4 linked regions of the Canis lupus familiaris genome follow. The protein of the gene in region 2 interacts with the protein of the main gene of each other region in a pairwise test. Links are inferred from orthologs where the notes say so. Each region holds a gene or a part of one and is shown on either strand. Other genes may lie near its edges. The genes, in order: EIF4E, EIF4ENIF1, DTX2 and EIF4E2.

Region 1 (7,492 bases), on a different chromosome or scaffold from region 2:
TTTACCATAGTAATCATAATTATAAACTCCCATTACTTTGGTCGTGTCTGGATGTTTTTCTGTGAATAGGTTAATTTCTTGATCATTAGTGACTTAAAATTCTTTGTATGTCTAGTAATGTTTGTTTGGTAGGTAAATAACATTCATAGAGACAGAGGATTATGTTCTCTTCTTCTTTTTTTTTTTTTTTTTTTTTTTTTTAATTTATGATAGTCACAGAGAGAGAGAGGCAGAGACACAGGCAGAGGGAGAAGCAGGCTCCATGCACCGGGAGCCCGACGTGGGATGCGATCCCGGGTCTCCAGGATCGCGCCCCGGGCCAAAGGCAGGCGCCAAACCGCTGCGCCAGCCAGGGATCCCGATTATGTTCTCTTCTGAAGAATGTAGAGTTTGGTTCTTGGAGGCACTTAATTTATAGGTAGATTACCTTGATCCTGTCAATGATTGGTTTTAGGATTTGTTAGGCAGATATATTTCCCCTGATTCCTAGGGCATGGCCTTTCTAGGATTTCATCTGAAAGCTGAGGATTTTCACTCACCTACTGTGTCTGGATCTGAACCATTTTCCCTGTGGTATTCAGCCTCTGAAGTCTTGGCTCAGCTGTTCTCTTCTAGACTATCCAGAGTTGAACTCTGAACATCGCAGCTTAGGAACTAGCCTAGCCAAGGACCTCTGAGGGATTTTTATATAGAGTTTTGAGGTTCACACCTCTGGTAGTACCCTGTCGCCCTAGGCCCACTTAGTCCCTAACTTCCCTATTTTCTTGATCCTTTGAGACTGCCTCTGGAAACTGTCATTAATTTTAAGCTGGTGGGGTAAGGAATGGCATTTGGTAATTCTATGAAGTTGTAAATTGACTCTGATGGAAATATGCTGGTAAAAAATGTTTGGTGATTTTAAGACCTTGACTACTCTGTAAATTTTAGGGTCTTAATTGCTTTGTAAACATTTAAATTTACTACTTAAGAAATCAAGACAATAAGTTCCTATGGAGTATAGCACTTTGCTCATTGGCATTATAGTTGTGAGCAAAATCAAGACATAGCCTCTGCTGTGAGTGACTATTCATTGGCTAGTAGATATTAGTTCCTACATATGTCATGTTGTTAAGAAAAATCTATTTTGTAAAATGAATATTTACCAACTATCCACTAAGAGATCTTTTAGATCCTTCATCTCTGATTTACATAATCTTGTTAATGTGAGCATATATTGTTTTGCTGGTTCAATTTAAATTCAGTCCCCAGACTCTTGTTGCAGTGCCTTTTTTTGAAAAAAATCAGCTTTTGTTTTAGCTTCTGGTGCCTTTCTTTGGCGTTCAGTTTTGTTGACAGTAATTTATAATTGAGTGAAGAGCTACATGGAGCAATGTGGAGAACACAGATTATCCCCAAGCTCCTTTTTTCCCTGATTTTTTATTATTGTTTTTATTTTTTAAAGATTTTTATTGATTTAATCATGAGAGACAGAGAGAGAGAGAGAGGCAGAGACCCAGGCAGAGGGAGAAGCAGGCTCCATGCAGGGAGCCTGACATGGGACTCGATCCCAGGTCTCCAGGATCATGCCCTGGGCTGAAGGCAGGCACTCAACCGCTGAGCCACCCTGGCATCCGTTTCCCTGATTTTTTAGATGACTATATTAATTAGGTCTAATCTAGAAAAAGATTTAGGTTCAAGCCAACATTGAGCTTTTTTTGCCTCGGGCCAATTGAAAATAACAGAACTTTTAAGTTAACCAGATGTTACAATAGTATAACATGAAGGAAGGACCTGTGTAATATTGGTTTGATCAATTTATAAAGTTTTCTTTTGCCATTGTAATATAGTTCTTAAACTCACCAAATTTAAGCTATACTTCCCCAATCTCCAAACCATGCATAGTACGTTAATAGTATGTTAGGGAAGACTGGGAAGACTGCTGGTTATCTTAACTTTGTTGCATGGTGTCTAACAATCTTTCTGATACCAAAATGTGTAAGTGACAGAAACTGCATATAATATTGTTATTATATTTTTATTGAGAAATCTTCTGTTCCTAGTGAAGAAATGCTAGAATGGAGAGTCTGGTGCTTTTCTTAGTTCTAGCGGTTGGTCTGTGGTCTATTTTATGAAATGCTTTTATAATTCTCCTTAAAAGAAGAATATTGGCAGTATTGGTTCGAATTGCTTTAAAGTATTGTTATCATAGTTATGTTAAAAATTTTAAAATAATTTTTATTATTTTCCATTAGGAAACCACCCCTACTCCTAATCCCCCGCCTACAGAAGAAGAGAAAACAGAATCTAATCAGGAGGTTGCTAACCCAGAACACTATATTAAACATCCTTTACAGAACAGGTAAGCCTTCTGACACATATGTTCTTCTGACTTAGACAATGAAGTAAATGGTGAAATAGGACAGGTTTGGAGGAAACAGGGTGAGACTAGTTTTAGATATATTGGGTTGAGGATTCCATTTTCACTTGGATAACCTGTTTATAGCAGGCAGTTTTATGTGTGAGTCGAGCTCAGAAAAGAGCACTGGTTGAGACATTGGGTTTGAAATTCGTCAGTAATTGGTAGTAAGTGAAATTATAGTAGTAAATGAATCGTCTTTAAAGTGAACTTGACTCAAGACAGAGGCTTGGAATACCAACTTATAAGGGATTTTTTTGGAGGGATAATGCCTACGAAGGGTTTAGACACATAAACTATAAGTTGGGACAGAGTCGTGGTCAGGGAAACAAAGAAAATGTGGGGGTTTTTTGTTTTTGTTTTCTAAAGGTTTTATTTATTCTTGAGAGAGAGAGAGAGAGAGAGAGGCAGAGACATAGGCAGAGGGAGAAGCAGGCTTCCTGTGGGGAGCCTGATGTGGGACTCAACCCCGGGATCCCGGGATCACGACCTAAGCTGAAGACAGACACTCAACCATTGAGCCACCCAGGCATCCTGAAAATGGTTTGTTTTAAGGACAGGTGATTAATAGCATATGTTCCATAAAAAGATCAGATATTCATTGGATTAAACAATTTAAAAAGGCTCAAAATTGCCATTGGATTGAATGATAAAGTCCTAGCTAATGTAGGGGAAAGTTTAGTAGAATGTAGATGATGGAAAAAGATTGGAATAGCTTGTAGAGAGTGAATATAAATTATTATATAGAGCAAGAATAAACAACTTGAAGTTGGGCTGTAAAGGAGAAAAAGCTAGGGGATGTGGCATCTGCAGGTTAGTTGGTTTTTATTTAAGACAAGTTAGGCGAGGAAAAGAGAGATTAAGGTGAGTTAAGCTTCGGGGTACATAGCTGGTTCAATTGGTAAGAGCATGCGACTCTTGATCTCAGGGGTTATAATGTAAATTCAAGCTCCATGCTGTATGTAGCGCCTACTTTAAAAAAAAAAGATGAATTAAACTTCATAGTTACAGTAGTTGAATAGTAGTAGCTCATATAGTTTTCTCAACTCTACCTCACACCTTCCCAGTGTTTGTGTTTTTATGGTTTATATGATGAAAATTAATATAAATGCACTGAGAGCTGATTGTGGGGGAAGAAAAATGCAATGCAGAAATATTGTAAGAATCTGGAAGAAAGTAAATTAGAATGAATTTGAGGATATTTAAGTAATTCAGTTCCTTTCATTTCCCTACCCCAAGACTTTTTTTTACCCTATCTACTTTACAGATCCCATAGGCCTGTGTATGTTTCACAGACATCCCTTATTTTATTGCATTTTGCAGATACTGCATTTTTTACAAATTGAAGGTTTGTGGCAACCTTCATTGAGCAAAAGTATTGGTGCCATTTTTCCAACATTTGCTGTTTTGTGTCTCTGTGTCACATTTTGGCAATTCTTGGCAAAATCTCAAACTTTTTCATCATGTTTGTTAGAGTGATCTGTAATCAGTGATCTTTGATGTAACTGTTATATTTGTTTTGGGGCACTATGAACTGTGCTCATATAAAGTTACAAACTTAATAAATATTGTGTGTTCTAATTGCCTTACTCTCACTAGTTGTTCCCCGTCTCTCTCCCTCACCTTGGGTCTCCCTGTTCCTGAGACACAACAATACTGAAATTAGGCCAATTAATAACCCTACAGTGGCTTCTAAATATTCAAGTGAAAGGAGGAGTCCTACATGTCTCACTTTAAATAAAAAACTAGAAATGATTAAGCTTAGTGAGGAAGGCATGTTAAAAGCCGAGATGGGGCAAAAACTAAGCCTCTTGTACTAAACAGCCAAAAGTTCCTGAAGGAAATTAAAAGTACTACTCCAGTGAGCACATGAATAATAAGAAAGTGAAACAGCCTTATGCTGATATGGAGAAAGTTTGAGTTGTCTGGATAGAAGATCAAACCAACCACAACATTCCCTTAAGCCAAAACCTAAACCAGAAGAAGGACTTAATTAATTCTCCTCAATTCTCTGAAGGCTAAGAGAGGTGAGGAAGCTGCCAAAGAAAAGTTTAAAGTTAACATAGGTTTGGCTCATGAGGTTTAAGGAAAGAAATGGTCTCTGTAACATAAAAGTGCAAGGTGAAGCAATAAGTGGTTACAGCAAGTTACCCTGAAGATTTTGCTAATAAGTTCATTATGAAGATGGCTACACTAAACAACAGGTTTTCAATGTAGATGAAACAGCCTTCTAGTGAAGGAAGATGCCCATTTGGGTGGACTTTCATAGTGAGAGAGGAGTCAGTGCCTAAGTGTTTAGAGGACAGGCTGACTTTTTTTTTTTTTTTTTTTTTTTTTTTTAAGATTTTTGTTTATTTATTCATGAAAGACACACACACACACACACACACAGAGGCAGAGGGAGAAGCAGGCTCCATGCTAGGAGCCTGATGTGGGACTCGATCCCGGGTCTCCAGGATCACACCCCGGGCCAAAGGCAGGCACCAAACCGCTGAGCCACCCAGGGATCCCTAGGCTGACTTTTATGTTAGGGTCTAATATAATAGCTGGTGACTTTAGGTTGAAGCCAGTGTTTATTTACCATACTGAAAATCCTAGAGTCCTAAGGAATTATGCTCATCTGCTCTCCTATGCTTTATAAATGGAACAGTAAAGTCTGGATGACAGAACTTTGGTTTACAAAATGGTTTCCTGAATATTAATCCCACTGTTAAAACCTGCTCAGAACAAAAGGATGCCTTTCAAAATACACTGCTCATTGACAATATACTCGGTCACCCAAGAGTTCTGATGTACCAAATGCATGTTGTTTTCATGCCTGCTAATACAACATCTGTTTTTGCAGTTTATATACAACATTTGGAAAAGGAGTAATTTTGACTTTGAAGTCTTACTATTTAAGGAATACGTTTTGTAGGACTCTAGCTGCCATAGATAGAGATTATTCTGATTGATCTGGCCAAAGTACATTGAAAACCTTCTGGAGGGGCAGCCCCGGTGGCTCAGCAGTTTAGTGCCGCCTTCGACCTGGGGCATGATCCTGGAGACCTGGGATCAAGACCCTCATCAGACTCCCTGCGTGGAGCCTGCTTCTCCCTCTGCCTGTGTCTCTGCCTCTCTCTCTCTCTCTGTGTGTCTCCCATGAATAAATAAATAAAATCTAAAAATAAAAAAATAAAATAAAAAACCTGGAAAGGATTCACCATTCTAAGATGCCTTTACGAACATTTGTGATTCATGGGTAGAGGTCAGAATACTGACATGAAACAGGTGTTTGGAAGATTCCAGCTCTTCTGGATGAATTTTGAGGGCTTCAAGACTTTGGTGGAAGAAGTAACTGCAGATGTGGTAAAAATAGCAAAGAATAGAACTAGAAGTGGAGCCTGAAGACATGACTGAATTGCTGCAACTCATAAAACTTGAATGGGTGAGGAGTTGCTTGTTATGGATGAGCAAAGAAAATGGTTTCTTGAGATGGAACCTACTCCTTATGAAGATGCTGTGAAGATTGTTGAAATGACAACAAAGGATTTAGAACATTACACAAACTTAGTTGATAAAGCAGCAGCAGTTTGAGAGAATTTGAGAGAAATTTTGTGGATAAAATATCCAAGCAGCATTGTGTGCTACAGAGAAATCCTTTGTGAAAGGAAAAGTCGGTTAATAGAGCAAACTTCATTGTTTAACCACAGCCACCCCATGCTTCAGTAACCAACCCCTGATCAGCCAGCAGCCAGCATAATCAAAGCAGGACGTTCCACCAGCAAAAAGATTATGACCCACTAAAAGCTCAGATGATGGTTTTTAGTAATAAAGTATATTTAAATTAAGGTTATAGTAGTTTTTTAGACATCATCATCATCATCATCATCATCATAATAACAATAATGTTACTCTTACTAGACAAATATAGTGTAAACATAACTTCTCCGTGCAGTGGGAAACGAAAAACTTCAATAGTCTGACTTACATTATTGTGATAACTTGCTTTATTATGGTGATTTGCATTTGCATCTACAGTATCTCTGATGTATACCTATAGTGAAACTATAAATATCTAAAAAATACATTTCACTTTATGGCCTGAATATTTTTTTATCATTTCTTCATTATCATGGTAGATTTATCAAAATAAAAGTCCAAACATGTTTTATGTAGTTTTTTTCTTTTCTTCTTTTTTTAAAGATTTTACTTATTTATTCATGAGAAACACAGAAAGAGAGAGAGAGAGAGGCACAGAGACACAGGCAGAGCAGAGAGCAACAGGCTCCATGCAAGGAGCCTGATGTGGGACTTGATCCCAAGACCCTTATCTTAGTGGGTATATAGACTTTTGTTTCCTATTTACAGTGTTGTAATTTATGCATATTTATGTTTTTTGTACACTTGTGTGAATATAAGATAAAATTTCAGATTTCTTAGGTTAAAGACTATGCTCTAATAACCTTAGTAGATAATTGCCAAATTATCCTCCTTTTTTTTATCAGCTTAGGCTGTTAGCAGTTTGAGAGTTCCTGGTTTCTGCATCTTTGCCAGTTGGTTGGTCCTAGTCTGATTTATAAAAACAATGTCTTATCATTTTACATTTGCATTTCTTTTATTGACATTGCAAAACTGTTTCATGTATCAGTCATTTTTGTTTTTATATGTGGACAGTGTCTTATTTTAAATTTTCTTTTATTGACATTGATAAGCCGTTTCATATATATTGATCATTTTTGTTTTTTATCTCTGGACAGTCAGCTCAGTTCTTTTGTCTAGGAGTAGGGGGCGGGTATTCTTTAAAGTTTATTTCCAGAGTGCTTGGGTGGCTCAGTCGGTTAAGTGTCCCTCTTCTGATTTCGGCTCAGGTCGTGATCTCAGAGTTGTGAGATCAAGCCCTAGATTGGGCTTCTTGCTCAGTTTGAGATTATCCCCATCTCCCTCTGCCCTACTCCCCACCCCCCAACTTTCTATCCCTCTAAAGAAGTCTTTATTAAAGAGAAAATAAAGTTTATTTCCAAGCATTCTAATTAGGGATGCTAACTTAGCCATGTAAGGCATTAGGTTGAAAATGCATTATCCAAAATCATTGGTCTTGGGGAGCCTTGGGTGGCT
Region 2 (7,492 bases):
GTTTCGTTCTTCACTGAGAGTTTTATCAGAGAAATGACATTCAGAGAAAATGTCGTTCTTCGCTGAGAGTTTTATCAGAGAAATGACAGAGAAAATGTCATTATCAGGAAACTGATTTATCAATCTGCTACGTAGAGAAAAATCAGCTTTCCTATATAGAGCAGTGGCAAGTAGATAGCATTAGACTGTATGCTTTGGAATTAAAAGTAGTGCTGTCCCTCATTGATAGCAGAAACAGAGTAAGAATATGATAAGGGAGCATGGTAGTGAGCATAAGGCTGTGCTAGAAATCCAGTTATGCTTAGTCTCATATGTGAAACTAGTTCTCTGGTATAAATCTAACAATTCTTGGGCAGCCCTGGTGACTCAGCGGTTTACCTCCACCTTTGGCCCAGGGCGTGATCCTGGAGACCCGGGATCGAGTCCCACATCGAGCTCCTTGAATGGAGCTTGCTTCTCCCTCTGCCCGTGTCTCTGCCTCCCTCTCTCTCTCTCTCTACCTCTCATGAATAAATAAAAAATCTTTAAAAATAAATAAATAAATAACAATTCTTAATAGTGGATTATGGTCTGAATACATGGTTTGGATATGGTTTGAAACTGGGCTCAAATTTGGTTTTCCATACTTTTTCCCATTTCAGCCAGAAAAGAGGGGTGCTTCGGTGGCTCAGTCAGTTGTCTGCCTTCAGCTCAGGTCATAATGCCAGGGTCCTGGGATTGAGCCTCACATCAGGCTCTCTGCCCAGCTGGGAGCCTGCTTCTCCCTCTCCCTCTGCTTCTCTGCCTACTTAACTTGTGTGTGCCCATATGTGCTGTCTCCCTCTCTCTGTGTCAAGTAAAAATCTTAAAAAAAAAAAAAAAAAAAAAAAAGAAAATGTGAAGTGGAGGACTAGCAGTATAGAAGTTAGTCAAGGAACTTATTGCAAGAACTTTTTTTGAGATAAGAGGAAAACCCATTATAAAACAAATTTGGGACTGGGCAAAGAAGATAGGGGTGACTCTAGTTTGAGATAGAAGATCCTTCTATACAATCTTACAGTACACTTAGTGCAGTGATATCCCTCGAGCAGAGAATTTATTTTAGGAGAATCATTAAAGATGTGCTCAGAGATTTTATTAAATGATGAAAACTAGTAAGCAAACTCAATGTCTAGGGGTAGAAATGGGTTACGTAGACTTTGGTATGTCCATATGTAGAAATATTAAGTTGTTCAGCTGTAAATTAAGAACTCGCCCATACTGTGTCTTGTTTTTGGAAAACATGGAGACATGGTGTGAAAATTCTGGAAAAGTACATAGCATTTTAGTTACTGTTTCTGGTGAAAAGTTTGAAGGAATTTTCTCACTTGGACTTCAGTTTTCTGGTTTTTCTAGGAAAGATTTTTGTGTGGTGACAGGTTTGATTTTCTCATATCTTTATTGAAGTATAATTGACAATAGACTACACATAATGTGTACCATTTGATGTTTTGATAGATGCATACACCTCTGGAACCATTACCATGATCAAAGCAATAAGCTTTTCCATCACCCCCAAAAGTTCCCTGGTACCTCTGAATCCCTCCTCATACTCCCCCCACACACACACCCCCGCCCCCATTCGCCTGCAGGCAAGCATTGATTTGCCTTCTGTCGCTACAAATTAGTTTACATTTACTAGAATTCAATATAAGTGGAATCCTACAGTGTGCACCCTTTGGGTGGCTTCTTTCACTCAGTAGTTTTAAGATTTGGTCATGATGTTGGTTGTATAAATAGTTCATTTTTATTGCCTAGTAGTAGTCTGTTTTATGAATTTGCCACGGATTATCCATGTATCCTGTTAATGGACATTTGGGTTGTTTCTAGGTTTTTTTTTTTTTTTTTTTTTTAATTTTTATTTACTTATGATAGTCACAGAGAGAGAGAGAGGCAGAGACACAGGCCGAGGGAGAAGCAGGCTCCATGCACCGGGAGCCCGACGTGGGACTCGATCCCGGGTCTCCAGGATCGCGCCCTGGGCCAAAGGCAGGCGCTAAACCGCTATGCCACCCAGGGATCCCTGTTTCTAGCTTTTGACTACTAACCGAAACTGCTATGAACATTCATGTATAAGTCTCTATATGGGTGTATACTTTCTTTTCTCTTGAGTTAATACCTAAGGGTAGAATGGCCGAGTCCTATAGTAAATGTATGTTTAACGTTTTGAGAAACTGCCAAGCTGTTTTCCAACATGGTTATACCACTTTACATTTCCACCAGCAATGTATGAACAATGTATGAAGGTTCACTCATTCTGCATCCTTGTCACCACTTGGAATGATCAGTCTGAGATTTTAGCCAATCTATTAGATGTGTAATAGTATCATGGTTTAATTTGCATTTCCCTAATGGCTAATAATGTTGAGTATCTTTTCTTATGCCTGTTTGCCATCCATATATCCTCTAGTCTCTGTTCAAAGCATTTGTCCACTTTTTTTTTTTTTTAAAGATTTTATTTATTCAAGAGAGACACAGAAAGGCAGAGACATAGCAAAGGGAGAAGCAGGCTTCCCATGGGGAGCTTGATCAATCCCATGACTCCGGGATCACAACCTAAGCCAAATGCAGATGCTCAACCATTGAGCCAACCAAGTGTCCCTGTCCATTTTTTAATCCGATTGTGTTTTAATTTTGAAGAGTTTTTATATGTACCTGATACAGGTCCTTCCTTTATCAGATATACTTTGAAATATTTTCTTCCAGTCTATGGCTTGTTTTTGCATTCTTAGAAGAGTATCTTTCAGGGGCACCTGGGTGCTCAGTAATTTAAGCATCTGCCTATGGCTCAGGTCATGAATGATCTCAGGGTACAGGGATGGAGCCCTGCATGACATTCCCTGCTCAGCAGAGAGTCTGCTTCTCTTTCTCCCTCTACTGTTTTCCTTCCTTATGCGTGCATGTGCACGCGCTTGCTCTGTTTCTGTCTCTCTCTCTCTGTCTCTCTCTCTCTGTCTCTCTCTCTCTGTCAAATAAAATCCTTGAAAGATCTCATTTTGCTTTAGATTTTATTTTGCTTTAGATCTTATTTTGCTTTTTAAAGAAGTTTTAAATTTTGATCAAGCCCAGTTTTTTCATTTAATATATTGTGGTCATGGTGTTGTGCCTAAGAAAACTCTGCTTAACCCAGTGTCACAAAGATTTCCTCCTTTATTTTCTTCTAGAAGTTTTATATCATTTAGATCTATGATCTATTTTGCATTTTGTATGTGGTACCAGGTATCAATTCAAGTTCATTTTCTTTTTTTTTTTAAGATTTTATTTATTTATTCATGAGAGACACAGAGAGGCGAGGGTAAGCAGGCTCCTTGTGGGGAGCCTGATGTGTGGGACTCAATCCCAGGACCCCAGGATCACAACCTGAGCCAAAGGCAGACACTCAAACACTGAGCCACCCAGGGGCTCCTCAAGTTCATTTTCTTGCATGTGGATATCCACCTGTTAAATACCATTTTTTGAAGAAACACTTCAGCTTTTTAGGTAGTTATTTTTTCCAAATACACCTACTATAATTGGCAAATTATTTTTCTAGTAATTATGTAGATAAGGCCTTAGTCAAAAATAAAGGGATTATGGAGACCAATCATGGAAAATCATTTATTATGAAGTACATTTATTGCTCCAGAGAGAAAAAGCAAAAGACTCAGTCTTACTTAAATATGCACATTATTCTGTACCTGTTTCAGTGGTGACTCTTCCAAAACCCTCATCACCACTAATCATGGACATACTACCAAGAAAGGAAAAGTACCCTGCTGGTTTGCTTAACTTTCTCTTTCTGGTGTTTTTCCAGATCCACGAGAGCGCGTGAAAGAAGATGACTTAGATGTTGTTCTCAGCCCACAAAGACGAAGCTTTGGAGGGGGCTGCCACGTGACGGCTGCTGTTAGTTCCCGGCACTCAGGAAGCCCGTTGGAAAAAGAAAATGATGGGCTTCGCCTGCTTGGCGGACGAAGGATTGGCAGTGGGAGGATAATCTCTGCTCGGACCTTTGAGAAGGATCACCGTCTTAGTGATAAGGAGCTGCGGGACTTGAGAGACAGAGACCGAGAGAGAGACTATAAGGACAAGCGATTCAGGGTTTGTCTTCTAGATCTTTTCACCCCACATGTGCTTAGGGACTTCATATGCACTTCATTTCTAGCAGGTTATTTTGAGATGCCAGATGAACACAGCCCATTCTTCAGCCAGATAAAGAGGCTCAGAGTGCTGGGGGCAGGGAGGGGCTCCATGTCTGCAGCATAGTATCTGCAGTATCAATCGTAGTATCAATTGACCATTACCTAACACATCAAGACCTTGACTCAGGTTGAAACGCCTTAAGTAGAACCTGTTTTTTTATCTTGCATTGTGTACTTTTCCAGAGGGAGTTTGGGGATAGTAAGCGTGTCTTTGGTGAGCGAAGAAGAAATGATTCCTACACAGAAGAAGAACCAGAATGGTTCTCAGCTGGACCCACAAGTCAATCTGAAACCATTGAGCTGACTGGCTTTGATGATAAGATACTGGAAGAAGATCACAAGGGGAGAAAGAGAACAAGGCGAAGGACGGCCTCCGTGAAGGAAGGTAAGCAAAAACTTTGAGAGGGAAGCTTACTCTTCTAATATGAGATGTGCTTCTAATTGTCTTAATTATGCACTTAGGAATAACTGTACCAATTGCTAGGAAGTGTCAGGTGAATTTACTAGGTGTGTATTACATCCTCAACTTGTTCTGCCTGCAGTGCTAAACAGAGAAGTCTCACGTTGCCCTGTAAGAGCACTGTGTACACAAAAGGGTTCCCTAGAGATCAGAAAAGTGGTAGAAATAGTGAAGGAGTCTCATTAATTGAGAACTGGGCACAGTGCTAAGTGTTTTGGCTGTATAATCCTTCTAACAGCCCTGTGAGGCAGGTACTTTTGTGGTTGAGTGAATGGAGACTCAAGAGGCTTGAGGGACTTGTCTGTGGACACTGAGGAAGTAATTAGTCAAGTTGGGAGTTGAACAAGTCCTTTTGTACTTCAGAGCCCACCTTCTTCACCGTGGTTTTAGAACTTCCTACATGTGTTGTTTGTGACTTGGCTTCTAGACTCCGTTAGCTATGAGATGTGGTGGGATATCTCCTTATCAAACTGAAAAAGCCAGAGCTACTATGTGAGAGGTGACTGATACAGAGCTGGGGGCCCACTACTCATTTTCAGGGCAGTAGCCTGGCTTTAGGGTGGCCAGTCTTGGGCTGATGATCCTGAGAAGTGGTAGTGAAGAGCCAGGCTGGCTAGCGTGAGTTTGAGTATTGGAGTTCTGCTTACCAAATGTATAATCTTTGCTAAAACTCTTGATAGGGGGCTTGGTTCTTTGTAAGGTGAAGATAGTGCCTACTTCATAATATCAAGGGTTACTTTTAGCATTAAAGTTCAGATGTGAACATGAGAGCTTAGTTTCTTGTGGGCACTTCTTGAGTAAATTCTAGTTCTCTTCAGCTTTCAGATTTAGTTGGAAAACACCTTTTGGCCGATACTAGTCAACAAAAGTAGAAAACTGTTTTAATATAAGTGTTTAATCAGTGCCACCTTAAAATTATGAGGCTAAAATATATTTAAGCAGAAAGTGAGCTAGTGGAATTTATTTAGGGAAAAGAGAGAAATCACTTGCCCCCCCCCCTTTTTTTTTTTAAGTATCTTTAAGACACAATAGACATCATCATTATCTTTATGCTGTTACACATTGTTCCCTGGGGTGATGCAGAAGAGTGATGGGTAACTTGCGAGATATTTCTCTTAAATAGCATTTGAGACATGCCTTTGTGTCATTCTCAGGCTAAAGCAGTACCAGCCAAGCATGGTCTTTTCACATAATGATAAAGATAAGGCTGCTGCTGGGTATGTGAGGGGAAGGCACATGTTTTTCTCAACTGAGGTGTAATCTAAATTTCACCCATTCATATTATATCAACAAGTGGATGAGCCAAATGGTGTGATAATGTCCCCTCCTTATCTTATACACACAGAGACAGACCTGGAAAGAGGGGACAACCTAAGACCCTGTCACATGGATTTCATGGCAGAGTCTCAAGTGAAATCCAGGGGCCCTAGCTCACTCACCCCAATAGTTAATTGCAGACGGTCCACAGGCTATTTTAGCAAGTGTATTTAGGATAAACCAGTATCCCATTATTTCATCTTGGCTACAAGAATGAAAGGGAGGGGGGGGGGATGAGTGCTTTTTAGTCCATTTTTGTATCTGTATTCTAACTTTCAATGGAATTTTTTTTTTTTTTTTTTTAAGAGCGAGTGGGGCCAGGACAAGGGGCAGAGTCAGAGAATCTCAAGTAGACACCCCGCCAAGCATGGAGCCCAACTCAGGGCTTGATCTCACAACCCCAAGATCATGACCTGAGCCGAAATCAAAGCGTTAGACGCTTAACCTACTGAACTACCCAAGCACCCCTCTGTGGAATTTTTTTATGTAGCCATTCTCTGCAGGTACATCCTAGTGCTGAGAGTATAGCAGTAAACAAAGCAAACCTATTCCTTTCCTGTATGATTTTAAGAACGATGTGTAATGAACTACTCACTCTACATGGGGCCCAGTGCTAGGTGATGTATAAATGGTAATAAAACAATTTGAATATGCATTAACACATGTAACCAGGGAAAAAAAGAAGTCAGATATGGTTAAAACCCTCCATTGATTGAAAAGAACATTTTAGGAGTGCCTAGGTGGCTCAGTCAGTTAAGTGTCTGACTCTTGATTTTTGGCTGAGGTCATAATCTCAGGGTTGTGAAATCGTGCCCTGTGTTGGGCATGGAGCCTGCTTAAGATTCTCTCTCTCTCCCTTTGCCCCTCCTTGCACAGCTCGCATGTTTTCGGTCTTAAAAAAAAAAAAAAAAAAAATTGTGTTCTCTCTAATGAAAGTATGTGGGCCTTCTGAACGTGATAAAACTTCCCCTTAGTTCTCTTTCCTGGGTCTCTACCTTTTGAGTGTATTATCATAAATGGCCAGTTGTGTTTGTCTGCCAGTACACATCCCTACCCACTTAGACCCATTCTCAGTTGACAGGCCCCCATCTGCTTTCCAGAGCTTGACAGTGGCATAAAATTGCATATAGAACACTGCTACAGCTTGCAAAAGCTATTTATCTGTTGAGATGTTCCACATTAACACAAAATAAGAGGAATAGAAGATATATTAAAGTTTCTTTTGCAAATGTATGAGCCAAATACAGACCCTCATTTCCACCTTTCATTCTTAAGTTGGGACCCAAAACAGCAGCAAAATGTTCCTCATCAGTTTAAGGTGGGCAGGCAGCTTCAGCCAGGTAAAGTGGGTCAGGGAGAAACAGTGTTCTAGTGGACAAGAATACACACTGGGCATTGATCAGGCTATTGAAATGTTCATTTTTCCAGGACTCTGTTTCTTTGTAAAGTGAGGCTACTATCTCCACCAAAGCAGTCATTTTAGTTTAAATGTCAGTCTTTACTCAGCCATTAGAAA
Region 3 (7,492 bases), on a different chromosome or scaffold from region 2:
TGGTAGGGAGTGCCTCAAGAGCAGAGTGCATAGGCCCTCATAGCCCCTTCCCCCTTGTTTCCCAAACCTCAAATGCCTGCTTCCACCTGCAGTGATTAGAGGGTCTTGCAGACAGGCTGGCGTGGAATTAGTGTGTGTGCTGATAAAGAGGGCCTAGTGATGACTTCTGCCTTCACTGCACTATCTGCGTGACCTAGTTACGCAGGTAATTTCACTCTCTTATTATGCTCATGTGTAGGTTTTTTGTGGGTTTTGATCAATATTACTGAGAATGGGATCACCAGCTTCCTCCCAGAGCCATGCCCTGTCCTTCTCACCCAGGGGTTCTCAACTGGGGGTGATTTTGTCCCCCAGGACGTTTGACAGTGTTGGAGATTTTTTTTTTAAAGATTTTATTTATTTATTCATGAGAGACACACAGAGAGGCAGAGACACACAGGTAGAGAGGGAACCAGGCTCCATGCAGGGAACCTGATGTGGGACTTGATCCCAGGATCCTGGAATCAGGTCCTCAGCCAAAGGCAGACGCCCAAACAATGAGCCACCCAGGCATCCCAGTCACAGTGAGTGTTAATCAGGGAATGGAACTGTAGTGTTGTGAGAGGACGAAGTTTGAACTTGAGTGGCCAGGTCACAAGGAAGGAACGAAGACAGGCCCGAGGGAGGGGCAGGTTGTCCCTTGAAGGGACTTTGACTTTTATTCTGAAAGGAGGAACCTTAGGAGGATTTGGGCAGAGGAGTGCCATAATCTGATTTGGAGGTGAGGAGTATCCCTGTGGCTGCCATGGAGGCAAGGGTGGAGATCAGGAGACCAGTAGAAGTGAATTTGATGATCATCTTTTGGCAAGTGCTATTGGAAACATGGCCCAAATTATTTCTCTTCTTTTGCTCTGTAATCTTCAGGTTTGGTTTATTAAGAATATAAGCTAACCACTGGGTGTTTCCCAATAGTTGCTACTTGAGAAGTCAAAGGGATTGTTACACCCAGGTAAGGGACTTATGTAAAAAATGAATAATGAGCTTTATAAAGTTTTAGAGATATAAGAAATACTCATGGCCTAATATAAGAAAATAGTCTGGAAAATTTTTCAGTGTGATTGTCAGCTTCCTAAGGGTAGATGCCTAGGAGACCAGATGGGAGGAATGCATGGTGATACAAGCTGTTTGGTTAGTCTTGATGGTTGGATTATAGATGGTTTAATTTTATATATATATTTTTCAGTTTATTGTTTTTTTTTAAGTGAGGCTACCTATTTTTCATCATTAGAAATATATTTTTTTGGTAAATGAAAATTTACTGTTGTGTTTTCACCATCAAAACTGAGGATCTTCGTCTTTCCTTCTTGCCTTCGTATAAGACCAAAAGAGAGGCATTGTCTACTTTGACAACCTTAATGCCAATTCCAGGAATGTCATCCACAGCATGACCTTTGTGACCAAATCCAGCAACCAGAACCTCATAATTTTCCTCAATAAAATTCAAACAACCATAAAGAGTACAAAGGCAGTGATTTTTTTTTTTTTTCCCATTCTTGATCAGCTGGACCCCAGCACACTTCCTGATGGCAGAATTTGGCTGCTTGACTTCAACCCCTACTTTTTCCAGCACAATTCCTTTTGCATGGGAAATGCCTCCAAAAGGGTTGGTCTTCAGGGCTGTGCCCAAATAGGCTTTCTTGTACTGTTTATCATGCCACTTCTGATCTTGTCCATGGCTGCAGAGCTTCCTGGTGGGACAGAGACACTTCCCTGAGCAAAAAAGAGGCATCATTAGAAGTATTTTGAAAAATCCTTGGGACGCCTGGGTGGCTCAGTGGTTGAGCATCTGCCTTCAGCTCAGATCCCACAGTTCCAGGATCGAGTCTCACATCAGCCTCCCTGCATGGAGCCTGCTTCTCCCTCTGCCTCTGTCTCTGCCTGCCTCTCTCTGTGTCTCTCATGAATAAATAAAATCTTAAAAGAAAAGAAAAGAAAAAGCCTGGAGTCTGAGCCACAGCTGTTCTTTTTTTTTTTTTTTAAAGATTTTATTTATTCATTCATGAGAGACACACACACACAGAGGGAGAGAGAGAGCGAGAGAGAGAGACAGGCAGGCAGAGGGAGAGGCAGGCTCCATGCAGGGAGCCTGATGTGGGACTCGATCCCAGGACTCCAGAATGACGCCCTGGGCCGAAGGCAGGCACTTAACCGCTGAGCCACCCAGGGATTCCCCACAGCTGTTCTTTGACCTAAGTTCCTAGCATCCCCCACTCCTGCCAAGGAGCACAGATCCCCATCTGCCATGTAGATCCCTTTAGGCCAAGTTTGTTTGTTTCCTTCCTTCTTTCCTTCCTTCCTTCCTTCCTCCCTCCCTCCCTCCCTCCCTCCCTCCCTTTCGTTTGAGAGAGAGCGCATATGAGTGAGCATGAGCTGGGGCAGAGGGAGAGGGAAGAAGCAGGCTCTCCACTGAGCAGGGAGCCCAACTCCAGACTGATTCCAGGACTCTGAGATCATGACCTGCGCCAAAGACAGATGCTCAACTGACTGAGCCACCACGCGCTCCCCCAGTTTCTTTACCTAGAGAGAGTTTTCTGCCCTTTCTACCCAAAATTTGGGAAGAATAACTGGTGCCAGCCTTTTGTTCAAATAACAGCATGACTCTTGTCTATTCATACTGTGACCATGCTGGCTTATTTTGTTTGTAGAAAAAAATTTTTTACTCTTTTTGTTTTGGGGGGCTAGGAGATTCACCATTCATGTGTCCTCCTCCTCTTCGAACAGGCACCATGCGGGCTGTGCGCAGGCACCTGTTCCCCCAGCAGTCGGCCCCCGGCCGGGGCATTGTCTGGGAGTGGCTGAGTGACGACGGTTCCTGGACGGCTTATGAAGCCAGTGTCTGTGACTTCCTGGAGCAACAGATGGCCAGGGGCAACCAACTTGTGGACTTGGCTCCCCTGGGGTACAACTATACCGTCAACTATGCCACTCACACGCAGACCAACAAAACTTCAAGCTTCTGCCGCAGTGTGCGGCGCCAAGCAGGAACCCCGTACCCAGTGACCACCATCATTGCTCCACCAGGCCACACGGGAGTTGCCTGCTCTTGCCATCAGTGCCTCAGTGGTGGTGGAACTGGCCCGGTGTCAGGCCGCTACCGCCACTCCATGACCAACCTCCCTGCGTACCCTGTCCCTCAGCCCCCCCACAGGACCGCCATTGTCTTTGGGGCCCACCAGGCCTTTGCTCCATACAGCAAGCCCTCCCTCTCTGGGGCTAGGTCTGCACCCAGGCTGAACACCGCCAACCCCTGGGGTGGGGCGCCCCCCTCCCTGGGGAGCCAGCCCCTCTACCGCTCCAGCCTCTCCCACCTGGGACTGCAGCACCAGCCCCCAGGATTGTCCACTGCCAGTGGAGCCAGGTATCTCTTGTTATTGAGGGTCATTTTGTCCACCTGTGCGCCATGTCAGCAGGCTTGGCTTTCTGCTTTGAGTTAGCTGGGAAGATGGCCCAAATACCTGCAGGCCTGGGCCCTGCCTCCGTGGACGTCCATGCTGTGTCGTCTCCTTTGCATGTGCCACCTGGCGCCTGCATGCTGGCCTTCCTCAGTCTGGGTTCATGGAGTCTAGGTGATCTCTGGTACCTGAGTGCTGATAGTTGCCTTCACTCCTGAGAGGCTCTCTGTAAAGCATATAAAGGCCTTTTAGCTATACCTGTGTGCCACATAGCTCTGCCATGTACCTGAGGACATCTCATAGACAACTCCTCTGTGCCAGGCACCGAAGACACAGGTGTGGAAGGTTCAGTCCCCTCCCACTCATCCAGGGGAAGGCTGTGAGCCCAGCTTTGGTGCTTAACAGTTGAGAGAGCAAGATGCTGAGTATGTGGCAGGTGGCAACAGGTAGCAGGATGGCTTCCACGGTGGCACAATCGGCCCAGTGTCTTGTAGAGCTCTCTGCACCTGGGGGAGGATGGGGAAATGAGCCTGGACTCCACCTGGACCAGAGGCCACCGAAAAGTTGGGAGAGCCCTGGAGTGGCCAGTGGGGGGGTGGTTGTTCCAGGTGGTTCCTGGAGACCTGTCACTGAAGAGTGGCTCCTCGGGGAGCATTATTGAATGTGCTGGACTTGGGGGACAGCCAGAGAGTTCTGAATGGCAGCCCGGATGGGGGCTGGTTCCCAAGAGAGTGACTTGTGGGCCCCTAGCGGACCCGTGGCTCCCCCACCCCCCATGGGGGCAGCATCCCGTTGGGCTAGGCTGACATCAGCCTCTAGCATTTTTTTAAAGGTGGGTTTCAGAGGCCCTTGCTGGCAACTGTAAGACAGTGATGACTGCCCTTCACCAAGTGCACATAGCTAGGTTGTGGATGAGTTCAGTAATCCTCTTCATGGCCATCTGGTAGATGGTGTCCTCAGCTGCCGGGTGAGCACATGGAGGTTGGCAGGACAGCCAGCAAGTGGCATGGCTGGGATTAAACCCAGGCCCCAGAGCAGGCTGTGAGGGACCCATGGGGAGATCTTGAAGCTCTCTTACAGGTGGAGTGAGGGGGAAGACCGAGACTTCCTGAAGGATAGCGTGGAGGTATCCGTAGATGGGAGGGGCATCTTCTCCTTTAGGGACTGGGGGTGTGTGAACTGAGGTCTTTCTGGGAATGGGAGCTTTCACTTGGCCATCTCCCTGGATTTTCACTTAGGCATTAGCAAGCAGGGCTCTGTGTTATGTCAGCCCCACCCAGTGTTCCGTGAGGCCCTCTCTGATATGTGGGTCAGAATCCTTCAGAGAAAAGTATGCTCTCTGCCAGCCCGGAGTGGTTATCAGCAGGGCTAGAGCTGCTTCTACTAGGTTGGTTTTGCTGAGCCTCCTGGGGCTTCTTAAGTTCTTACAAATTATTTTGGGGCACATTTCTAGATAGTTCTATAGCTGGGATTCTGGGATTGAGCCAGGTGACTTAATAGGCTTTGTTGCTTTCTTCTGGCACGGGGCTCCCATTGGTCTCCCCTGATATTTCTCTGGCATCCCTCCCTCCCCAGCCTGAGGGCCCGAGAGACTGCCAAAGTGAGCCCCCCTGGCACAGGCCAGGCAAGTTTCAGAAGGGACGGTGGCTGGGCCACATGGCCTCACCTGTGCTGCTGGCCATGCGTGTTGCTGCTTGCCCTCCTTGCCTTGGTTGTAAGCCAAGAAGGGAACCAGGCCAACCGGCTAGGTTAGTTGAAACCGCCTCAAAGGGGCCTGCCTCCTGAAGTGGGTGTTCATCTCTAGCTCCTCCAGCTTTTCAGGACCTGGGAGAGGCACAGTTCACTCACATGGCCATATCCCTCCCTGTTTTGAAAAACAGGGTTTCTCAATGTCTTATTTGTCGGGTGGCCCTCATTCAGTTAACCTGTTTCTTATGGAACGGAGGGGGCTTAATGAATACCTGGCCTCTCGACCCAGCCGAACAAGGACAGTCGAAAACACTTGACAACTCTGTCTCCCTAGGGGCTGTGGTTTGATTCTCCAAGCTGAACAAATGTTGATTGCATTAGGTGGACATTCCCCAGAGGGCAGCGGGGCTGGGGGCACCATGGGCTAGGGAAGCCTGAGAACCAGCCTTATTTACTGGTAGCCACTGGAAAGAACAGGCAGAGGAGCAAAATCAAAATTTGTGGAACACGTGTGGTTTTTATTTTGGAAACCATGTGGTTTCAGATCGCCTCTTGCTCAATCCGGATAAAACCTTGGCTGACAGATTTCCCTGTGCTCTGGGAGGCTTTCTGAGCAGGCAGTGTCGCCTTCAGCTGCCGGGGTTTAAGAAAATTTCCTGGGCAGCCTGGGTGGATCAGGGGTTTAGCACCACCTTCAGCCCAAGGTGTGATCCTGGGGACCCGGGATCAGGTTCCGCATAGGGCTCCCTGCATGGAGCCAGCTTCTCCCTCTGCCAGTGTCTCTGCCTCTCTGCCTCTCTGTGTCTCTCATGAATGAATAAATAAAATCTTAAAAAAAAAAAAATTCCTGGTCGCTGAACTTTATCCTTTCAGCACCAAGACTTGTGTTTTAATGATGTTGGATAGAAAACCTTCCGAAATGTGTCATGTACACCCTTGTCTTCTTTAGTAGAGGGTGTGGTGGCTTAATTAACATCTTGATGACTTGAGGTGGTGATCATGACCGGCTGTCTGTTGTAGCTTTGGCGTGGCTAAGCCTTGGGGTGGCTTGCCCTTGCACTAAGTGGCCCTAGGATGTGGCTTTCCCAGTTTGTTTCCATCTGCTGTGTTCTCGCTGCCGCTCTTCCCCCAGGCTCTGCAAACACTCCCTCCTGCAGTCCACCTGGCTTGCATGCTTGGAGTCCCGGGTCCAAGGGGGGTACCTTTCCTCTGACTGGCTATAGGCCCTTGGGTCAGCTCTGTTCTCTTTCTATGTCTATTCTCTCCCCTCTTGAGATTAAGGAGTTGGGCCGGGAAGCCAGAATTTTCCCTTTGCTCTAATTTTGTGGTTTTTGGGATTTCCGTGGGGGGCCTTGCAGGAAGATGCATGACAGCCCTTCAGCTTTCCTGTGTCCCCTTGACTCCTCTGAGAACAGGGAAACAGTGAACATTTGTATTGGGCTGGAGATTGAGCCTCACAACCATCCTGGGGGCCTTTTGGAATTGCTCTCATCTTACACATAGAGAAATTGATCAGAAAGGGGACTCAACCTGGCCAAGGGCATGCAGGTTTAAGGTGGAGTGGCGCTGGAAGTGGGGTCTCCAGACCCCACATCTAACGCTCCTTGTACTGCACCTGCTGTCAGGGCTTGCTGGTCAGTGCTGGCTTGCTGGCCTGTGGGGAGCGGGTGGGAGGCTTTTGTGCTTGCCTGGGACTGCCACATCCTGCCTTCATAGAAGACTGGAAGTCCTTCTGTCTCCTGTTCTGAGCTCCATTTGGAAGCTCCTGGAGAGAGTCCCAGACAGGAAAGCCAGGTTGGGCCTAGTAGGTAGAACCAGGAAGAGGGGAGGTCAGGAGCGTTGCTGGAGGCAGTGACTGGGAGGAATTGTCAGAGAAGGGTGCTCTGTTGGGTAAATAGTGCCCATGCTGGGGACCATTCTGCCCGTCTGGGCCCTTTGAGGATGGTGGAGGGGGAGTTGGTGACCTCCGAGGTCCTGTCCACCCCAAGAGTCCCCATGTTTGGAATTCCTGGGTTCTTGTCCTGCTCCTATCACTGCAGGGATACCTACAGAGTAGCTACTGGGATGAATGATAGGGGAAGTGGCAACACTGTGAGACCCATAGAACTTAGTCACAGTTCCTGGCCCCAGTTCTAGAATGAGTGTCCAGTGGTAGCCTTAATGCCTGCTTTCTGCTCTAGTTCTTGGGGGTGGAACCTGAGGCCTTCTCCCTCACATACATGCCTATTCCCAGCAAAGGAAGATCCCACTTCTTGGACCCTCTCTGAGCCAGTGATGAGTAGCCCACTAACTTGGGGGAATTGTAGAGCCAAGCTTCAGCTTCCTGACTTCCTGGCTGAGGGCTCAAGTTCAGTGTCCTCTGTAGAACTGGC
Region 4 (7,972 bases), on a different chromosome or scaffold from region 2:
AAAGAGACCAAGCTGGAGTCCTTGAGTGGTTGAGAATGGCTGTGGGCAGGGTGCACTGTTGGAATCAGCATCCACATAGCTCTGGCTAGCTAGTCCTGGCAATCCCCTCACCTCAGCAAGACGTTAGCAACTCCTGTCATTTCTGAAGCCCTAAGGACTCTGTCTTGTATGACGTCCCCAACTAGGCAAGGTCCCATCCCTCCAGGACTGGGCCTCCCTACCTTTGTACGAGTCCCTCCCCACAGGCTCCCAGAGGAGAGAGGTCAAGAGAGATGTGAAGAATAGCAGGCAATGTTCTCTTGAAGGAAGGGCAGCAGCCCACGCCAGCTGGTATATCCCTTTTCTACTTTCTGGGTGCTATAAGCATCCAAGACTCTGCTGCACAAGTGACCTTTCCATTCATATGCATTTTTTTTTTTTTTGGTCATTGATCACAGAAGAGTTACTCATGTCATCAGGGACAAGCAAGGGTCACTATTTCCCCACGTTTCATTTGGGCAGATTGGGGCTCCAAGTGAGAGAGGGGGCTTCCCAGAACACTGATGGCTAGGGCAGCCATCATGAGAGCCTGTGTCTCTCATGAATAAATATTTTAAAATCTTTTTTAAGATTTTATTTACTTATTCATGAGAGACACAGAGAGAAAGAGAGAGGCAGAGACACAGGCAGGCTCCACGCAGGGAGCCCGGCGTGGGACTCGATCCCAGGTCTCCAGGATCACACCCCAGGCTGCAGGCAGTGCCAAACCGCTGCGCCACTGGGGCTGAATCTAAATATTTAAAATCTTAAAAAAAAAAAAAAAAAAAAGAACACTGGTGGTTAAATAAAGTTTGGAATGCAGAATTCCCAACCCAATTTTAGACACTCCCAAGAAAGATTCGGTGGCCTGGAAAACAGACCCCTCTTCCTTCTCTTCTCAAAGGGCGGCGGAGCATTTGCACTGGTCTCAAAGGATGCTTAAGACAAGGAGGAGCTGGGCAGAGAGGCTGGGAGGTGATGGGCTGGGCTTTCCCTTCCGGCAGGAGATTCTGGATCCACTTAGAAAACAAGATGCCCAGCTGAGGTCTTCCTGGCGGGAGAGGCAAGGCCCGGCTTTGAGAATACAGCTGGGGCCCGAGTTCTGTTGGTGAGGAGAGAACCCGAGCAGGTCATTTGTGCCCTCTGAGCCTCTGTTTCTTCATCTGCAAATATGGGTTCGGATTTCCGCTTCCTACCTATCCACCCCCATCAGAGGATCAAAGGTGCGGGTGACAGTGAATCAAAAATGTGCATAAGGGGCAGTCCCGGTGGCGTGCGCCTGCAGCCCCGGGTGTGATCCTGGAGACCCGGGATCGAGTCCCACGTCGGGCTCCCTGCGTGGAGCCTGCTTCTCCCTCTGCCTGTGTCTCTGCCCCCCTCTCTCTGAACAAATAAATAAGTCTTTAAAAAAAATGTGCCTAAGACCTGACAATGGGACATCGTGGGGGCGGGGGGGCTGGTAATAACCGCCTTCCCCAAGCACAGGGGTGCTGGCTTGGGGGCTCCACCAGCAGCAGGTTCGCGTCCTTAACTCCCGTGCGCGCCGCCCCTGTGTCCCCGGAGCAGAGGCTTCGGATCCGGGAGGCGCTCGCTCCGAGCCTGGCGGGCCCATCTGGGGTTCCGGTGAGCTTCGCACTAACTGTGTCACCTGGCGTCGGTCTCTCCACATCTCCGACCGCCTCGGGGGGCGCGATGAGCTCCTTCGCTCCCCCGCACAGGTCAGCAAGACGGAAGACTCCGCGCGGGCGGCTGCGTCCGGCGCCGGACACCGGCGGTCCGGTTCTAGCCACACGGCGACCCGAAGGGGCGTGGCCGGGACCCAGGAGGAAACAGCCTCGGGCAGGTGAGGAGCGAGTCCAGGACGGTGCAGCCGCCCCCCGGGGGGTGGGGGTGTGGAGTCGGGGCGCCCCCTCGGACGTGCGGCGGGGACCCAGGCAGCCTCCGCGCAGCCGCCGCGCAGCCGCCCGGGGCCGGCGTCCCGGGATACCCGCCCCGCACCGGACTAGCGCGCAGACGTTCCGCTGCGCCGCGCGCAGCCGGAAGTGGCCGGGCCCTAAACTGGGGGGCGGGGGGGGGGAAACCCGGCGGAGCGGAAGTCACTCCGTGAGGCAGTGGCGACGGCGGCGGTGAGAGGATGAACAACAAGTTCGACGCGTGAGTGGCGCGTGGCCGCCCCGCGGGGCCCCTTCCCCCAGCCGTTCCCCCCGCGCCCGCCTCCACGGGGGCTGGCAGCGGCGAAACTCCCCGGCGCCGTCCTGCGGCCTGGGCTTGGGCTGCGGGCCTTCGCGGCCCGGGCGGCCGGCGGGGGAGAAGGGGGGCTGGGGGGGGAGGCGTCATGCAGGGGTGCGGAGCGGGGTACGGCCCCAGGGCGACGCGCGGGGTCCCGGGAGGGGTGGCCGCGCCGCCCGGAAGGAGATTTTTGGACGCCCCGCCCCGGTGGGTGCGGGTTGCCGGCGGCGCGGAGGGGCGGGGACGGCGGCGACGGCGGCGGTTTTGGGGTGTTGGCGCAGCCCGGCCGCCCTGCCTCCGGACCCGGCGGGGGCTCCACGCACACGCTCTCCCGCCCGGGCAGCTCGCCTCGCCCCTCTGAGTCCGGGTTCTCCTCTGCAGAGTGGGGACGGTGACAGCCCGGGCCGGAGAGTGGTGAGGATGCAGTGAGGTAATGTGGCCGTTGGCGCCTGCAGGCGGCTCAGTTACGGAATGCTCCCGGCCTTCGCGAGGCTCCTTCCTGCTTCCTTTCTCCTCCCCCTTCCCCCCCACCCTCCCCGCTCCAGCACGCTCCGCAGGAGCTGCCCCTGTTCTGGTCCCCCGAGCACCCCCCTGTCATTGCCCCCGTTTCCACCTCCCCAGTTCCAGCAGCATCGTTTGGGGGCGCAAAAAAAAAAAAAAAAAAAAAGGAAATGCAGAATTATTTCTTTGCACGTTTCCCTCTAGCGATTGTGTCTTGAGGCAGGTTATGTGCTTCTAGTAAGCATAGTTGATCTCTAGGGACCTAGATTCCCAGGTCCAGACCCACCAGTTTACCGCTTCTATGCCCGTGGAAGAGTCACCCACCCATTGTTAACGTAAAGCACGTTAGCGGTTGGGGCCCTGCTGCTGCCCTGGTGTGTGAGGATCAAATCGCGTTCAGCAAGTGCTTAAAGGGACTTTGTAAATTGCTAATAGGGAGGAATGTAAAGTGGCATCACTGTTTAGGTTGTGACCTGCTGCTGATGGGAAATTGTTTTTTTTTTGGAGTTTTTTTGTGTGCCCCCCCCCCCCCCGCCCCCCAGTACAATGAGTGCTGGTTTGCACTTTCGGGAGTCCTGGATTTCAGCGCTCTAGGCAGCTCCTCTGGAATGTGTTCCTGGTTGCTGAGAAGTCTCTGGGACTTGGAAAAAGTCTTTGGCTCAACGTTCCCCCAGCCTGCTGCTTAGCTGAGCCCATCTCAATAGGAACAGCCACACTTCCCACCACCCCCCCCCCCGCCATTTGCACCCCTTATATCTTAAATCTTTGCAACACCAAATTCCAGATCTAAGTCCTCCCTCAGTAGAGCTTTCTGTAAATGCTATACCTCTTCCTCCACTGAATTGAACAGATCAACATTGCATCTTAGGAAGGCACTTTATGGGTCAGCTAAGCCGAGTCTTGCCCATATCATTTGGGGATCTGCGGTAAGCTAATTTAAGAATGATAGTAACAGGGGATCCCTGGGTGGCGCAGCGGTTTGGCGCCTGCCTTTGGCCCAGGGCGCGATCCTGGAGACCCGGGATCGAATCCCACGTCGGGCTCCTGGTGCATGGAGCCTGCTTCTCCCTCTGCCTGTGTCTCTGCCTCTCTTTCTCTCTGTGTGACTATCATAAATAAATAAAAAATTAAAAAAAAAAAAGAATGATAGTAACAGGTTTCATAGGAATCTTGGTAGATACTTTTCATATGTTATTTCTACTGCTAACAATTCTGCTAAGGGGATCATGTTACCTCCTTTTATAGATAGGAAAATGAGGCCCTCTGAGGTTAAGTAACTTGCACACGAAAACAGGAAGGTGCACGTAGCAGGATTCAAACCCCGGTTTGTTTAACCTTGGTTCAAGTAACTCTTGACAAAAATTAACCTGGGTCATTTTTAATTCGTTATAATTATTAACTATGCCTTATAATGACCCAGAATTTTTTAACATCTCCTAGGTATGCAGTTAAAAAAACAACAACAAAGCTCTCATTTATTTGAAATTAGCAATTAGAGACCACACTCCTGCCCCTAGTTTTTATTTTTCATGTAACAAGTTTGTAGGGTTTTTTTTTTTAAGTTTGTTTATTTAAATAATCTCTACACTCAGCATGGGACTCGAACCCACAACCCTGAGAACAAGAGTTCCTCTGACTGAGCCAGCCAGGTTCCCCAAAAGTCTGCAGTTTTTAGACGTTTTAGTTGTTTGGCTTCTGTACTCTTTACCACGTGGTTCCTAAGGACTGGTTCCAGTTTGCCAGTATCCTAAAAGTCCAGTGCCTAGAGCTGGGTACTGTAGTCTAATCTGATCAGCCCAGTTTAAAGAAGAGCTCTAACCTCCTGCATGGGCTCGATTTCTGAGAGTGTAATCTAGGATTATAATTGCACCCCACCCCCTACATCTATCCAGTCAGTTAGCTACCACTGTCATTGACCCTGTTGATGTGTGAAACCTTAGGATGATTTCACTATTCTGCAGTCCCAGACTGTGATTACCTTAGTTTTCAGATCTAGATGCCATACTTGATTTTGTTACTGTTCTCTCTTTGCTAGTTTTTGGCCCTTTCTTACAATATTGGCCGAACCACCTGTTGGCTCCCATCCTATTCTGCCTTGTATTGCTTTGATTTTAGAAGTGCATTCATTAAACATGTTTGTTGTCTGCCTCGGTCTCATGCTGGGCATGTAAAGATGAATTAATCTAAGTTCCTATCCACAAGGAATTGGTCTACTTAGAGAGCAGTGTGAGGATAAACCTGGGCAGAGGTTTGGTGAGTTGACTTGGAGCCACTCAGTCTGGATAGCCTTAGAGATGCTAATTGCCCTCCTGAGTCTGGAGCACTGATTTTTAGTCCTGATTGTATCTTGGCTCAAATCCAGCTTCAAGCTGGAAGAGTAGCCTCTGGAAGACAGGATGCAAGTGATTTGCTTTAAGTATAGGCTTAGAGGGCAGGGTTAGCTCCACCCTCAAGAAATAACACATTAGAATTTCCTTTTATCATCTCTGAAGGGAGTCAGGAAGTGTGGTCCAGGAACCACAGTAGCACTCTCTTCTCAGATATAATTATTTTTGCTATTTTTCTGTTTCCTAATCATGAATAGCAGCAAAGAAAGGAACATGTGCTTTTCTTAGTGCTAGTAAAATGAGAGATGTGGGATGACTGCCTTTCTTCAAGATGTAAAGGGAAGGGACCCCAGAAGACTATCGTGGAGGCTGGGAGGTAAGAAGAGAGGGAAATGGTTTGAGTCCTGAGATATGCCCTAAAGAAGAGAACGAGGGCTGTCTTGGGCCTATTCAGTATAAAAAACCATTTGTTTGGGAGCTGATAAATTAGGCATAACCTTATAGCTGAGACAAGTACAAACACTGATATGATGAGGTTCAGAAGAGGGGAACCTGATCCAGCCTAGGGAGAGATTAGGAAATGCTTCTAAGAGAAAGTGGCCCTTATCCTGAGTCCTAGAGGACAATTTAAGTAGGGGAAGAGAGGCTCTCCAACGAGAGACCAGACGATGAGCATAACAGAGGGAGGAGAGATCAAGAAGCTGCAAGTAAGTTGATAACATGAGAGTGGAGGTGTTTGTTGGGACCAAGCAGGAGGTGATACTGGCACATACACACAGAGCAGGACCTTTGTAACCAAGCTGAGGCCTGAGTATGTATACCTTATCTCCTCAGTCAGGTGCTTGGGGACAGGCAGTAGCATCTGATACAGTAAGTGGCTTGGTAAATATGGGACTTGGTGCTATACAGGCTCCTTTAGGAAAGTACATCAAACCAACTTGAGTTTAATAAGGGGAAAGGAGTATCATAAATGCAGATAACATTCTCCCAGAAGTCTCCTAGGTCTTACCGAGTCAGTGAGGTCGCAGCATCATAGACAAAGCCCCTTTTCTCTCTGCTTTCTCTGCTCCATTCCCTTTCTCCCTCCTGGCTTTCTTTTCTCTTGTTCACTTTTTCCATTATGGCTTTTTTCATATGGGACCCATATGATTGCCCCAGCTCTTGAATCTCTGATCTTTCATCTCCTGAATGAAAGGCCAAGGAAGAAATGTAGTCATAATTTGAGCAAGACCACAAGGCACCAGTTATTGGCCAGGATGGACTGCCCTTAGTTCAGGTGCCCTTCATAGTCCTGTTGTGAGCAGGAAGGTAGGGGATAGGGTCACTTGGGGCATGATGCACCTGAATGTATCCTACAGGTAGAGCTGTGAAATGGGCAGAGGAGGTACCTCAATACATGGCTAGTTTGTGCATTCTAATATTTATTGAGTGCTTTTTATGTGTGTGGCATGGGAAATTTATGGACAAAAGAAATGCAAAATGCTTTGCAACGTGTTTCTGTAGGTATGTAAGATAATGTGTATGTTATCATTTGAGTATTTCTAGTACCTTTCTTGAGAATTACCTAATTCTGTTTGACTAGATAGTCCTTAGGGCCAGAGGTAATTTTGGAGAAGATCCATGATAAGCTAATGGTCCAGCTCTAAACTAAATGGCATTCTTATGTATTTGTGAAGTCATCACCTGCTTATCTTTCTGTCTAAATCCAGTGAGCTTTATATGTTACCTGAAAGCCTTAGGATACTTTCACTGCTTCTAGGAGGGTAGCACCTACTGTGCATTTGACCAATCTTACCAGGCGAAAAGACATTCATTCCTTCTTTCAGTCATTTCTTTTTCTTTTCACTAAACATTGATTCAACATCTTGTGCTACACGTTAGGGCGGCATCTTCTTGTCCTTGGTGCTGAAGGCACAAAGATTTATATTAGACTGTTCTAAGAGATCCCTCCACTTAATAGTAAAAACAGACATGGGAAGAATGTCACCTTGGGCTTAGAGGTAGTGTTTGCAGATAGCACAGCTGTGGGACTATAGGTTGCTTTGGGAGATGGGGAGGGAAAGAAGATTTCAGTAGGCAGGAGTCAGATTCTAGAGGATCTTAAATTTCATTGTATTTTATCCTGCAGGGTGGTCATCCAAAGACAGGGGACGGTTAATGGTTTTAGGCATGGAAGTTAAATGACTAGATTGAATTTATTAATTAAAGATTTTTCAAATTTATTTTAGTGTGTGCGAGGCAGTGGGGAGGGCAAGAGGAAGAGAGAATCTCAAGCAGACTCTGCTGAGCATGGAGTCCAATGCAGGGCTGGACCTCACAACCTTAAAATCAGGACCCTGAGATCAACTACTTGAGCTGAAACCAAGAGTCAGATACTTAACCTACTGCACCACCCAGGTGCCCTCATATTTACATTTAGAAAGATGCTCGTGGCTATGTGGAGGATGGATAGAGGGTGGAGAGGATTTGTGTCAGGGAGACCATTTAGGAATTTATTGCAATAACAGAGGACAAAGAAGAGGGCCTGAGCTAAAGCAGTGGCAATGGGGAAGGATAGGAGAGATGGTTAGAAGAGTTGAGAGAGATAGGTAAATTTTTAAACTTCATTTGAAATGCCAGAGCAGTTATACAATCCAGAAACTCTTCTCATTATTGACTCGTTATTTTTGGCAAAGAAAACCGTCCCTTAAACTGTTTGCTGGGGATCCCTGGGTGGCTCAGAGGTTTGGTGCCTGCCTTTGGCCCAGGGCGTGGTCCTGGAGGCCCAGGATCAAGTCCCACATCGGGCTCCCTGCGTGGAGCCTGCTTCTCCCTCTGCCTGTGTCTCTGCCTCTCTCTCATGAATAAATAAATAAAATCTTAAAAAAAAATAAAATAAAATAAACTGTTTGCCTTTT

What was found.
Region 1: the proteins of EIF4ENIF1 (region 2) and EIF4E interact in binary tests that used the Homo sapiens proteins (3 or more experiments, as listed by UniProt). The link is inferred for Canis lupus familiaris from reciprocal best matches to the Homo sapiens genes EIF4ENIF1 and EIF4E.
Region 3: the proteins of EIF4ENIF1 (region 2) and DTX2 interact in binary tests that used the Homo sapiens proteins (3 or more experiments, as listed by UniProt). The two-hybrid records come from large-scale screens. The link is inferred for Canis lupus familiaris from reciprocal best matches to the Homo sapiens genes EIF4ENIF1 and DTX2.
Region 4: the proteins of EIF4ENIF1 (region 2) and EIF4E2 interact in binary tests that used the Homo sapiens proteins (3 or more experiments, as listed by UniProt). The two-hybrid records come from large-scale screens. The link is inferred for Canis lupus familiaris from reciprocal best matches to the Homo sapiens genes EIF4ENIF1 and EIF4E2.

The regions. Positions count from the first base shown.
Region 1 is NC_049253.1:18,832,508-18,839,999, forward strand, and holds part of EIF4E (eukaryotic translation initiation factor 4E), read left to right. Parts: intron 1-2,231; coding exon 2,232-2,338; intron 2,339-7,492. UniProt on the Homo sapiens protein: Acts in the cytoplasm to initiate and regulate protein synthesis and is required in the nucleus for export of a subset of mRNAs from the nucleus to the cytoplasm which promotes processes such as RNA capping, processing and splicing.
Region 2 is NC_049247.1:24,786,982-24,794,473, reverse strand, and holds part of EIF4ENIF1 (eukaryotic translation initiation factor 4E transporter), read left to right. Parts: intron 1-3,811; coding exon 3,812-4,098; intron 4,099-4,382; coding exon 4,383-4,584; intron 4,585-7,492. UniProt on the Homo sapiens protein: EIF4E-binding protein that regulates translation and stability of mRNAs in processing bodies (P-bodies). Plays a key role in P-bodies to coordinate the storage of translationally inactive mRNAs in the cytoplasm and prevent their degradation.
Region 3 is NC_049227.1:7,535,143-7,542,634, forward strand, and holds part of DTX2 (probable E3 ubiquitin-protein ligase DTX2), read left to right. Parts: intron 1-1,062; exon of another isoform or gene 1,063-1,294; coding exon of another isoform or gene 1,295-1,768; intron 1,769-2,760; coding exon 2,761-3,397; intron 3,398-7,492. Other genes in the region: 40S ribosomal protein S23-like, read right to left, coding at 1,295-1,768. UniProt on the Homo sapiens protein: Regulator of Notch signaling, a signaling pathway involved in cell-cell communications that regulates a broad spectrum of cell-fate determinations.
Region 4 is NC_049246.1:44,367,502-44,375,473, forward strand, and holds the start of EIF4E2 (eukaryotic translation initiation factor 4E type 2), read left to right. Parts: upstream 1-2,119; 5' UTR 2,120-2,152; coding exon 2,153-2,172; intron 2,173-7,972. UniProt on the Homo sapiens protein: Recognizes and binds the 7-methylguanosine-containing mRNA cap during an early step in the initiation. Acts as a repressor of translation initiation.